2 linked regions of the Coturnix japonica genome follow. The protein of the gene in region 1 binds, or shares a complex with, the protein of each later gene. Links are inferred from orthologs where the notes say so. Each region holds a gene or a part of one and is shown in the gene's direction. Other genes may lie near its edges.

Evidence for each region.
Region 2: the proteins of IL22RA2 (region 1) and IL22 are in contact, whole or in part, in a crystal structure (PDB 3G9V), measured with the Homo sapiens proteins. The link is inferred for Coturnix japonica from reciprocal best matches to the Homo sapiens genes IL22RA2 and IL22. Residues at the interface, in NP_443194.1 of Homo sapiens: Lys65, Ile66, Tyr99, Gly100, Gln101, Arg102, Trp104, Gln128, Glu129, Pro130, Tyr132, Met148, Pro150, Arg151, Thr153, Trp155, Trp156, Glu157, Glu200, Pro246, Met247, Leu248, Asp249, Arg250; in NP_065386.1 of Homo sapiens: Phe47, Gln48, Pro50, Thr53, Asn54, Phe57, Met58, Lys61, Ser64, Leu65, Asp67, Asn69, Thr70, Asp71, Val72, Arg73, Leu74, Lys162, Gly165, Glu166, Asp168, Leu169, Met172, Arg175, Asn176.

Annotation. Positions count from the first base shown.
Region 1 is NC_029518.1:49,589,172-49,595,810, forward strand, and holds the start of IL22RA2 (interleukin-22 receptor subunit alpha-2), read left to right. Parts: upstream 1-2,822; 5' UTR 2,823-3,045; coding exon 3,046-3,160; intron 3,161-4,073; coding exon 4,074-4,224; intron 4,225-4,693; coding exon 4,694-4,872; intron 4,873-5,885; coding exon 5,886-6,055; intron 6,056-6,520; coding exon 6,521-6,639. UniProt on the Homo sapiens protein: Isoform 2 is a receptor for IL22. Binds to IL22, prevents interaction with the functional IL-22R complex and blocks the activity of IL22 (in vitro). May play an important role as an IL22 antagonist in the regulation of inflammatory responses.
Region 2 is NC_029516.1:31,853,720-31,860,207, reverse strand, and holds IL22 (interleukin-22), read left to right. Parts: upstream 1-2,357; 5' UTR 2,358-2,395; coding exon 2,396-2,599; intron 2,600-3,307; coding exon 3,308-3,373; intron 3,374-3,469; coding exon 3,470-3,610; intron 3,611-3,854; coding exon 3,855-3,920; intron 3,921-4,329; coding exon 4,330-4,443; 3' UTR 4,444-5,110; downstream 5,111-6,488. UniProt on the Homo sapiens protein: Cytokine that plays a critical role in modulating tissue responses during inflammation. Plays an essential role in the regeneration of epithelial cells to maintain barrier function after injury and for the prevention of further tissue damage.

The DNA of each region.
Region 1 (6,639 bases):
AGAAATGACGCTTGGCATTTTATACTGTAATCTCCCAAACGTTGAGCCAAGCCCACTGACAGCGAGAGGTGAACAGTTCACACCTGTGGGCAGGAAGCAATGAATACCCACAGTGTACAGAGAAAGTCAGTCTCACTTCCTTAGAAACTTTTCTGTAATAGCTCTTGTGATGTAATGCCTCTTCCCCGAAGGGCTGAGAAATAAAAGTCCCCGTTGCTTGGCTGTGGGTGGTTAGTGTGGGTTTTTTTTTGCTTGGATGGTTCTTTGTTGTTGTTGTTTGTTTCTTATGATTCATGTTCAAAGTCTCCATTAAGGCAATGAAGGGCTGCTGTATATGTGTCAGAAGAGGCAGGGAGGTGGATTGGGGGGATCTCAGCGCTGTTTCCAGCTGGATGAATGGGGCACTTACAGAAAATATGGGCAGGTTCTGCTAAGAGACCTGCAACCCGAACACAAAAAGCCACTGTCATGGGTTGCAGCAGGGGAATTCCGATTAGATGTGTGAGGAAAGGGCTCCCAATGGTTATATGTGCTATCAACCCAGCTTGAAGCATCAGATTGGACAAGCTGAGCTCCAGAGACCCCAGCCAAGAGAGGTTGTCCCATGGGTCTGAGTCCATGAAACCCGCATGCAGACTTGTACCCAACAGTAGAGATGGTTGTGGGAGGAGCCCTTCTGGGGTCACATTTTCTCCTCTTGTGGTCAGGAACATCTTGCTCCAGATAAAATAAAGCAATAAGGTGGTGCTATCAGACGGGATGAGTCAGGCAGCTTCCAGCAAGAAGGTACTCAGCTTTCACCTCTGTGTGGCAATAGCCAGACTTTAAGAGGAAGAACTTAATTTGCCCAGTATTTAGAGAGCTTTTTATTCCAGGAATGAAAAAATTCTTGTGCTCTCAGCTCTGTCTGTTCACAGAAGCATCAGGACTGCCCTGTCACAAAGGCTTGGGTCAAAGCAAATGCTACAGTGTAAGTAAGCACTAACATGGATGCTGCTGGGGAAAGGAACGCTTTCGTTTTCCATTTCTTCGTGAGTTCCATTAGAAGTATTCTTAAGCAATACTGTTTCTTAAGTGTTCCCATTTATTTAAAAGTGCTATAGATGCATTGCACTCAAGACAAGTACGTCTATATGGGTGTGTGCAGCTGCCACTCACCAGAATGTAATTGCTTTTGTTGCAAAGAGCACTGGGGAGACATGATTGAAGATAATGAGAAAGAAAATGTTACAGATGCTAAAAACATGGGGATTATCAGCGGGTGTTTCAAAAATGGTGAAATTATGTGAAGAGATTGCATCACATTGCCAGGCCCAATTACAGAACAAGCACTATTGGTGCTGTGTGAGAAGCCCTGATCTTTTCCACGATCCAGGTGTTTCTTTCCCCATTTAGCCACAGCAATTTGCAAGTATTTGGAAGGGAGAAGCAAAGGGGCAGCCTTCCTGGCCCCAGTCATGCAGCCACCCAATCCCAGCTCTGGGAGGTTTTGCTGTCGTGGGAGAACCTGGTGCCGGCAATGATTCCAGCAAAGCTCCGCACTTGGGTCCCGATAAGGTGTGTTGATACAATTCAAGTAAGTAAATACACAACCACAACCTGTGACAGGCGTGACTAAAATTTGATGGCATTTCAGCTCAGTGATCAGTTCATAAAAATCCCCTATTCCCGCACTTGAGCTCGTATAACGTGATGAAATACTCATTGTGTGTGTGGAGGGGAAATTCTTAAAGTCATTGAATTTTGAAAATGTGTTTGGGAAATGGAGATAAAAAAATCCCAGAAGGCAATGCCAAAATTGCCTCTCTACCTTCTACCTTGATTTTCTTCTGCATTCCTTCCCAGCTAATCCCATACTGTGGTAAGTAGCCATTCACAGTTACACACCTGCAGTTTTAATGTGCCCGCTGCAAATTCAGTGCTCGCACTATAATGTGCATGTGCTCAGTTGATGTCACCAAGGCCAGATTCTTGATTAGGTTGTATTTAATTTGCCTACCGCAACCGAATGCCTTTTGATGAAAAAAACACCTTAGTTTGCACAATAACTTACACTTTTTATTTCATTCTGGCAACATTTGCTTCTGCCTTTTTCCCAAAGCCAAGATGAGGGATTAGGTAAGTTTTTGTTTCTGCAGACAGAGATGCCCTTTTCCTGCAACCAAGCAGTTTCCACACTGGTTATTTATCGGTGGGCATTACTATTGTGTGCTGCTCCACACTGTGCACAGTTGGGTTGTCTCTTCTTGCCCACTGATGTGGGCGTGCAGGAGATGAGGGCACCCGGCTCATGCTGGGATACCCAGTGTGCCAGCACTCAGCATGACCAAGCTCTCCATACCACCCACCGGGCAACAACTGGCCCCCTGCAGGCTGGCACACACAGCAATAAAACATCTACCAGCACAGAGTGAGATCACTTTATCGCAAGCCCAGCAGCCCGTTTTGGGACCATGGGATGCACATACCAGTGGTACAGCATTCAGAGTTGCTTTGGTGCATACAGTGTCAGATAGGCAGTGGCACTTTGACCAGTGGGCTGAGCTCAGCCAGCTGCAGCCTCCAACCACCCAGCAATAAGTGCAGCAGTTTCATGTCCCCATGTCCCCCTGATGACATGTTCCTACATGGCATCCTCCACTGAATGTTTCGACAGCCTTCATTGTTGTGTTCAACCCCAAGACAGGCCACCCAGATTACATCCCATTACTGTTTTGTGCTATTGCAGCAAGATTTTGTGTTCTGCGGCACTGAGTGACTGGCAAGCTGAAAAACAATATCATAGCAGAGCAAAGAGGCAAGTTTGTGTGACATATTTTTGGGATAAAGCAATATTGCCAGACATTTGGGAATTAGTCCCTGAAAAAAGCACATTTTTCTCATTGGTTTGTTTCATAATTAGTTCCAAACTTCAGAGTGAGTGAAGCTTCCAAGTAAGAGCGATTGCTTACGTTTAATTTAGAACAACTAATATATTTCCCACCTAGCCACAACAGGGAATTTATAAATAGGGAAGTCACTTTAATAATTACTTCCTCATAAGACATGCCCAAGAGGAAAAGAGATGCTCTCAGTCATGGAGCTGCTCTCCTAAGCATGAGGGGGATCAGGCTTTCCTCCCTCTGCTTTCTGATGCACCTGCTGCAGGACAAGATAAGCAGTAAGTAAAGGCTTTCAATTCTCTTCCCACCTGGAGGGTGTAGGGGTGGTGGTGTGTGCTGGGTCTGCTCTCAAAGCTGGGCAAATCAGGAAAACTCTGGATACAGAGGCTGGTTTCATAAGTCCTGTCATTTCCAAATTAGTTTCATTTTGTTTTTCAAAATGCAGCTAAAATGAGTGTAACGTTCATCGCATTTACTTACAGTTCTGTTACCGGCTTCAGCTCAGTTTGCAGGAATCTCTGGTTGTGAGATATACCACAGATAAAACTGCAGGTATATGAAGTCAGCTGGGTCATGAAATCCAGAAGTCTGTTAGGATTTCGATGCTTCAGTGCATGTTAACTGATTCTGTCACCTGGATCTGTCTCAGTTTGGAAGCAGCTTATCTTGAAAACTGTCAGACAGCTTTTTCAGTCAGTTCAGATGGGAAAAGCAGCGAATGTCATACTATTTTATTAGGCAAGAACCAACAAACGCAGCTATGGTAACCACTAAAACATAGTGACCATATACTATATACCATAGTTAAACTATAGTCCCTGCAGTCTAAGTCTGAGATAGGAAGGACAGAGCACCTACCTTTAACTACTGGCGCAGCTGTGTACTGCATGCTCTGGGAGCTGATCAGAAGGGTTTGTCCACTGGGTTGTCCACTGGGCATCCTTCATGGCAGTAAATTCAATGATGAAAAAGAAGAAGAAAAAAACAACACCATTTGTTCCTTTCACAATCCTGGCTGTGGTCTGTAACTTCTACATCTGTTCACTGCAACACGGAAAGTTTGGAACATGAGACCCAGATTTAACTTCCCCGCCGGCTGCTAGCCTGAAACCACACGAGCAGTGTGTGCCTGGATGCAGAGGTGCCTGACTGAGGGAAATGTGTGCTGTCACTGTTTCTTACTATTTGCAGCCACTTTAGTCCTGGAAAATCAAGACCTGCGAGATGCAATCAAGCCACGGGAGGTATGGTTTTACTCACTGAACTTCAACAACACCCTGCGCTGGCAGCCTGGGAGAGCTGGAGAGGGAGAAACCACGCTCTACTTTGTGCAGTATAAAGTGTAAGTGCCAGGGGAAGTCCAGCATGCCTCATCCAGCAGCCCATCCCTGCTTGGCAAGCCAAAGGGATCTCTCAGTTGCCAAAGGATACCTGGGGCACAGCCTTGTCCTTCACTGCTGCCAGCTCCCTGCACTTATCACAAGCCTGTAAAGTGCAGCTGAGCAGCCTGAAGGACATGGAGGTCAGGCGTGCCTAGCAACGTGACATACACCGTCATGGCACCTTAGTGTCAGCCTTGTGGGAGCACAGTCAGGGCTTCAGTGGACTGCTGTGCCACACGGTGTGGTGCTGGGACCTGTTCCTCAGAGGGGCCTACTCTATAAGGGAGGCCTGCTCCTGTCCCCATCACATCTGGTCCAGCACCTCACAGGATAAGAGCCTTAGGTTCCTTTGGGGAACAGACTGTTACAAGTCTGTATAGATCTGGTTGGCAGTAGCTGGGGCTTGAATTGCTCCTCCTTTCCTCACAGGTATGGGCAAAGCAAGTGGCAAAACAAAGAGGAGTGCTGGGGGATTCAGAGCCATTTTTGTGACCTGACGGAGGAGACTTCTGATGCCTATGAGCCCTACTATGGGAGGGTACAAGCTGCTTTGGATGGTGTGCAATCCGACTGGAGCCTCAGCTGCAGATTCACTCCCTGGCGAGAAAGTAAGTGCAAACACATGTGCTCTCTGATCATGGGGCTGGGTTTTCTGCAGTGTGGAGCACAGCATTTTTGCTCCCAATCTGCTGTCAAAAGTGATACCCTTCTAGCTAGAAAACTGTACTGAAAGAAGTCGTGTGTCCACAACTCTCGGGGGAAGTGTTGTGATAAAATAACTTTTCCCACACTTGAACCAATCCTTGTGTACAATTAGGGGACCAGAAATGCCTGGCTCCCTTCCACTCAACCTCTCCCTCAAGGCATGGAACTCCGTAAAATATTCACAGCAGTTTCAGGGGCTGTTGGAAGGATTGAGCACAGTGTGAAGAGGGAAATGTTCTCTGCTAGAGGGAAAGGGGAGGAGAGAAAAGGCAGCTGCATAGCCTACAGCTTTCTCACATGCATGCGTTTTTCTCACATGTATTTTCCTGACAGTGGTGTATTTAGAAAGGACATGCACAGAGCTTTTAGTTAGTACAGCCACTGTAAGACCATAGTGCACAGGACTGCAGGACTGTTAGAACAGCGAGCAGTGTCAGTGTACCTACCACTAAACTTCCATATATTATCCATTTTTTTCCCCTCTGATCAATGTAAAACTGAAGTGTAGATACTAACACAGGTCACTCTATGGCTCTGAAGTGCAAAATAACTTGTCCTGTGTAGGCAAGACTGCACGCTTTGAGCTAGAGCTGCATCTTGCTGCAGCAGCAGCTCACCTTACCCTGCACCACATCCTCCTAAGAAGATGTGGGGTAGCCGCTGCCTTCAGGGGTACACAGGAACCATGTGAAACCCCAGCTGTGTTTAACCAAGCAGGTTGCACAAGTTCTGAGAAGAATGACTGAAGCTGTGTCCTTGACCTGAAATGGTTCAAACATTTCTGCAGCTCAAGACAGCAGAAAAAAAAAAAATGAAGAAAAAGAATCAAAGGCAAAAAATCCAAAGCATTCTGTTCTGTGCATCGTTATTAATAAGCGTGCTATAATCATGCTCACAGCTTTGTTTATACCCCTAGCTATGATAGGACCTCCAACAATAAAGGTGGTTCACAGCAACAAATTCATAAAAATAAAGCTCCAGGCTCCACGATCGGCTTATAGAAGGAAGAGAGGCAGCACGATACCAATGACAAATTATTATGATCTTCAGTACCAAGTTTTCATAATTAACAACTTGCTAGATGAGGTAAGTGCATATTCAGATATAAACTCTTTACCATTGGAAAGCCAAGAGAGTATGGGCACACTCTTCCCTTTTACAGCTGAAGCAGCCCTCTAGGATTGCAAGAGTGTAAATGCCCGTGTAAGTATCTAAACACAAAGCAAGCTTATTTTTCAGGAATTGAATTTGATTGAACTGGGCTGTAATTCATCCCCACTTTCTTTGTTCCCATTGGTGTACTATTTCAGAATCTAAGCCCTAGTTGAAACAGTTGGGAAATTACGGCAATTTGGGGTGGCTTTTTTTTTCTCAAGAAAGAAAAGAAAACAACACCAAAACTGGCACATAAATAACTAATGCTAGCTAATGTTGTTGACTTAATGCAAATGCATGTGTTGCTCTGAACTCTCCATCCTTCCCAGCTTAGTCATAGACACACTTGCCAGGGCAACATGCATGACCAGCTGTTTCTCCTCCCTCTGTCTGAAGCAACACAGAGTGCTGGTGTATGAAGGAAAAGACAAGGTGATCAAAATAGAAGATCTGAAGCTGGGAGTCAGCTACTGCATCGTGGCTAGAACATCAGTGCTGGCACTGGGCCGCAGCAG
Region 2 (6,488 bases), on another chromosome or scaffold:
GGGAAACTCCACGTAATTAAGCTTTAAAATTGTATTAGTGAGGTCAGTGGTAGGACAGATGCTTGCTTCTTGGGACGTCATGGAGAAGAAAATGCAATCTGTGAACAGCTTGACATGCTAAGGGAAATAACTGCAGCCATGACCACGGCTATGCCGTAACTCAGGGGTACATCAAGAACCAGCAGTCTCTTGGTAAAAAGTAGTCAGGAAATGGCCAGGTGTGGACTGATGTGCAAGAAGAACATGTTGAACTGCTAAACTTTGTGTCCAGAAAGACTCTGAACTTTCATTTTTGGACTTGGCTGTATTCACAGCAAGCTAAAAAAGGGAGACAATGTTGTTATAACTCACAATGGCCAGCAAAAGATTAAGTAATGCAAAGGCTTTACAAACATCATAAAAAGGAAATTCGTGAAGTAAGAATTAATTAAAACTGAAAATTGTCCTTTTGATGCCTGGAAAATAAAAGTATGAGCAGCAGAGATAAAGCAAACAAATGAAATAAGGACATTTTGCAAGCCTCGGAAGGAAGACAGCATGGCACAGCCAATGACGCACAGCTGAAAGAGATTTCTGACAGCATAAATGGGAGAGAGGCTCATGAAGTATGACTTAACGCTTCCTATGAAAATATATACATCCAAGTCTATGATTCGCAAATACTAGAGAAGCCAGATAGAAGAGATCCTGTAATCACTGCATAAAAGAGGGCAGGAGGAAGATTCAGCATCTAATTCCTCATCCATATGCCTGATGATATTTAGATATCCATCAGTATGGGAATCCTGAGACCATGTGGTCTCCTCACCACAATTTGGGCAGCGTGTGCATACACAGGCCACAAACACTTTCCATGTTATGAGAAGAGGTCAGGCAAAACTGGAACTGAGTCAAGTGAGAGTGTGTGATGGGAGGTGGGGTCTAGAAGCTCAGGAGGACAGGATCTGGGGCAAGACAGGGGCTATTGCTCCCCTTGGAAAGGGTCAGAATACCTGTTCACGGCTTTTGTTCTGGGCTTGGGACATCTAAACTGCTGGATGAGCTGGTAGAGAAGTAAGAGAAACCTAGCTTAAAATTCAAAGCAGGTGGTGGTTATCAGGCTGTTAGCCCTTGAAGAGGAATTCATGGGAGTGCACTTCAGAGAAGGCCAACACTTTGAAACAGACTCTGCCTGTATTTCTCCCAGTTTGTTCTTCACTGCCTGTTTTTGTCTACCTGTAATGCACCCTCCCATCTTCTTATTCACCTGGCAAATAAATTCACAGAAAAGAGTTTATAAACATGTTCTTGAATAGTCTTGTGGTACATTTGGGATATGAACTGTGTGGTCAGCATCCTGAACCCAGGCTTGCTGTTGAAGGCCAGGCATGAGAATGGGTGGCATACATGTGAGTCATGGAAAGGGTCGTGGTGATGGTGGCTCTGCTGGAAGTGGCTTCAGGGTGAGTAGGTGCAGCTCCAGAGGCTTCAGAGCCACACAGAGATGAGATAGGAGGCAATTGGGGTGACAGAAACATGGAGAATTGAAGGATGTGAATGTGTCAGAAGAAGATAAAATGTAAGTGTGTGGCCTCGGCTCTGGCTATTACCCCTGGTTACAGCCTAAAATATGGATCATTGTTTGGAAAATGGGAGTGTGAGGATGAGGGATGTGAGAAATTCATTGTTGGTCCTATACAGTTTCTGATGTCCCAGAGAGAAATGAACACTGATGGGCAGATAGCCCATGGCTCCAGTGCAGCCCAGTGTGGGAAGGGATTTTTTGAGGTGAGAACCAGAGCTGGTCAGAGTGGTCTAGGTCTGGAGCAATCTCTGACCATCTGTGTACCTTCATCATCTCCAGTGGGTCACTAGTCTTATACAACAGAAGACGAATATAAATTAATACATATGATGTTATTTGCCATCAAATTACCAATGCAGTTAGTATGGCACAATTGGGACAGAAGGCACAAATCTATGAACTTCTTAGATGTTTTTATGAGAAAAGGATTCAGGATCACAGTCCCAGTAAAAGCCCCCGCTTTGTCCCTGCATTAAAAATTGGTTTACTTTATAAGAACCTGAAGGTTACAATTGCCTTGAAGTTGTATTTGTGGGTTTTGTAGTGGTTAGGAAGTTCTCAGAAGAAGATACAGGAAAGTAAGAGACTTGCTGATGTCATTTTTAATTCACCACCAATACTCCCCCCAAAAAAAGCTGAGAGGGATGTTGATGTCCCTATATAAGGCACACCTCACCTCCTTCACAGCACATTGAGAATCACAGCAAAGGTAAGGCTTGCAGCCGTTCTGCCTCTCTCCCTTTGCCCTTGCTCACTCTCCCCACTGCTAACACTGCTTTCTCTCATCAGTGCTGAGTGCTGTAACTACAGCCCTTGGGACGGACGTGAGCCATGGCCACCCTGCACACCCTGACCAGGAGTTTCTCGGGATGGGTCGTCTTCTGCTGCTGTTGCTGTTTCCCCCTTCTTCTCACCAGCCCTCTGCCTCCAAAAGGGATAGGGATGGTTTCCAATGCCCATCAAGCCTGCAGGCTAAGGAAAACCAACTTCCAGCAGCCCTACATCAGGAATCGCACCTACACCTTGGCTGAAATGGTATGATAACTCACTTTCCCTTCATGGCAAGATGTGAGGACCTCCTTCCCTGCCAGTGCCCTGGTTTCTTGCCTTCATCATTTATCTCTCTTTCTTCTGCACTCATACAGAAAACAAAAACATTTGCAGTGGGACAGAGGTTGATGTGTGGAATAGTCCCATTGCCCACTGGTGCTGTGGCCAAGGGAAGCTGCTCAGCTCCTCTGGAGCGGCTGCTGCTACACAGGGACAATTGTGAGATATGATCTTAAATTACTCTTGTTCTCAGAGCTGGGCATGTTGGCTTTTCAGCTCTGTGCCTGGACAGGTTTCTTGACCATCTCTATCATGTGTGGATCTCCCCCCACATACTGCATCGAGGGCTGCAATGCAGCGCTGTGGGAGATGATGCAGCACTGTGGGAGATGCTGAGGATGGCTACCCGCAGGTTCTGGTTTAGTCATCATAACCACTACGACCTCCGATGTTTACAAGAGGGACAGGAATTCAGATTTCTGCATATTTACTTTCCTGTGACCTTGATTCTTATGCAGTTGTGGAAAGAAACAGCTGAATTTTCCAAGCTTACCTTCCTGTACCTTACCTACCTGCTTACAGTGTCCATTTCTTTTTGTCACTGGAACTGTTATTGGTGAAACCTCAGGGTTCACTGTTAATTTTTAGGTAAGTCTCCCATCCTCACCTGACATTTCCTTTTTTCCCCCTCAGGCCAGGGTCTCAGATCAGGACACTGACAATAGACTCATCGGTCAGAAAATCTATGTCAACATCAGGGTGAGTCTTCCAGCTAAAGACAGATCCCCATGTTGTTCTGCAGCACTTGTTGGCCTCTTCCCACAATTTAACATGACCTCTTATTTAAACACATAGGAGAACAACCGCTGCTACGTGATGAAGAGGATTGCAGAGATTATAGTGAAGGACGTCCTCACAGAGGCCAAGGAGCGGTACCCATATGCTGAGGATGTGGCACAGTTCCTGGCATCCCTGATCTCGGAGCTGAGCAGATGTGTAAGTAGTGTTGATTTTCTTTCCCTTGGCTGTGATTCTTGTCACTGCTCCTGAATCTCAGAAATCTGCAAATAGTGGCAAGAGACAGTGATATGAAAGGAAACCTCAGATCTAAGATATCAAACTGGAGGTTGATAGAAACGTGTGAAAAAGGGGAAAAAAAAAAAAAAAGAAAACAAAAAGAAAAGCAGCATATTGTCACATGCATCTGTCAATGTTACCTCTGGATATTTTCTTTCTTTAGAAACACTCAGGAAACAGAGAACATATTGAAAAGAACCTGGAAGAGATGAAGAGCAAAATGAAAGAGGTATATTCTTTCTCTGTTTTTAAGAAGTGCCGTTCAAAACTCCAGTTGTTTAACTAAAGTAAAGCTGACAGAGTCATGAAGCGAGCTCTGGAATTTATATAAAAGGTGAAGTTTGCAGGGGCATTAAAGAGGAGACGAGTGGTGTTTCCACTTCCAGAGTTCCTTCATGTGTACTGTTAACTCTCTGCATATCTTATAGTAACTAGCCCTTAGAAATTGAGCTGCGAGCTACTGCGTATACTAGACTGGATTTGAATGAGCTAGTTTATATTTGATGATATATTGACTTTAACAGAACTACTTGTGAGAAAGAGGAGAGTAAGTTCTCAGTGCAGTTTCTGTGACAAGCCTAATTTAAGTCTTCTGAGAAATGGAGGGATGTTAAGACCAGTGTTCTGCTCTTTTCTAGTTGGGAGAGAATGGAAAGAACAAAGCCATCGGAGAACTGGATTTACTGTTTGACTACATAGAAAATGCTTGTACTGATGCCCCAAAGAAGGGAGGGAACAAGAAGAAAAACTGAAAAGAAAAACCAGTCAGATTAGTCTTGATGGAATATCTCCCAGAGCTCTTACTACATTGATTAACTACTGTGCAAAAAATCCTGCCGGTAGCTGCAGCACACTTTTCAGTCTGTACCAGAAATAGCAAATCAGGTGGGCACAGATGGAAGCATATTGCTGCCTGCCTGGAAAATGAAGTCGGCAGAACAGCGTTTGTGGCTCCACTTCACTGTTGCACACTGGTTGTTTTCAAAGGCATGCTCCTATCCTGCTCATCCGCTCTGGAATAAGACAACTCTTTCTGTATTTCATAGGCTGAGATTTGACACCTCTGAGTCAGCTTTGGCCAAGGTAGGCAGTGCTCTGTAGCCAGGGAGTTTTCAGCCTTTGACTTCAAAATCTCTCTTGTGTATGTTGCCCTCTTCTGACCTTTACCTGAAAAGCTGGAACTTTAGACATTCAGAAATTAGTTTTGTTGCTCATATTTAATGGTAACTTATTTTAAGGTAATAATTTTGTAGTAATTATACTGTACTTGTATTTATACAGATTAATTAAAACATAGCCACAGGGATGTATTTATGGAGACCAGAAGCTTCAGAATGAACTGTAAAATTAAAACTGCTGTGTAATATTTATATGCAGATGGATTGTTTCATAAATGCTTATTTTTTAATTTATTATAATAAAGAGATATTGGTTTTCAAATACTGCCGTCTCATAGAGCTTTTCTCTTTTACTGAAAAGCAAGGGAGGTGACGTATCATGCCTGGGGGGCTGCTGGGCTGAGTGGCTGTATTCTTGTATCCAGAAAGGATGCAAACTCATTCTGGGGACAGGATTCTTCATTAAATCTGAAGTTTCAGCTTACCACAGGACAGGGTTTTGTGGAGAGTGTGTGGATCAGCTTTTCTCGTGGGGAGATGCTGGAAAAATAGCACTTCTGAGAATCTTTGGTGTGGTTCACTCATTCTGCCTGAGTAGTTCTCCTTAGGTAAGGTCCTATCTTGAATGGCCACTGGCAGAAAGTTTCAGACTGTCCTCCCGAGTCAGATGAGACAGAGATAAATGGACAAGTAGCAGGAACTACATGAAAACTCACTGACCCGTAGTGCTAAGACAAAGGAGTGCTCAGCAGCACCATGGATTTGGGAGTGTTCAGAAGAGAGCTTGGTGTCATTATCAGTTCCTTCAGCAGCATCCCCTGGGCAAAGACAGACGAGTTGCTCTGGTACACCCAGGATCATAAGTGGCTGCATGAAGGTTAAAGAGGTCAAAAAGTGTCCAAATAGTGAAAGAAAAAAGTGTGCTAAGGAGGCATCTTAAAGACTCCTCATGACTGGGTATTGTGATGTGCTATAAACACTGACAGGAAAATATTTCTGCCTGTGTAGCTTCCTCAGTTACTCAAAGAGAAATCAAAACTAATCCAGTTGTAGTTGCAATGTCTTACATCAGGTACTGTAATGAATTAGCATTAAAGCAGTATTAAACTATGCCTTGTTGACTGTGATCCAGAGAGATTTCAAGACAAAAGCAACCATCCATTTAGGGAATTAAACTTATACTATATTGAAAAGTATATTTATTTTCTTACTAGTGACATAAGAAATTATATTGTCATGAGTTCTTGGCTGACATACTTTATCATTCAAACTTGCAACAGCTGACAGCAAAGAGAGCAAAGCTAAACACAAATTAGGGAATTCATCTCACTGACTATCGATGACCTTCTCCCAGAGATACACTTGTCTCCCTTTACAGATGAAGGAAAGTAAAAAGAATTATCCAGGTGTGATTTGTTTGAACTCCACTGAAGTTTATAAAGATAATGCGGTGGAATGAGGTGGAATTGTTCTAGAAATGCTTGTCTTCTTCCTTGTTTAGAAAGACTAGACCAAGAACTACTTGCACTATTGCTCACTGATATAATCTCTTTACCAATGGATGATTAACTTCCTTCTTTTTTCTACTTTTTCTGTTCCCCTTCTACATTGTCCTTTTTTTAAGCTGCCCTACCCAGAAATGTCAGATGCATCTCTTGAGCTTTCCATGTTCTGGCTAA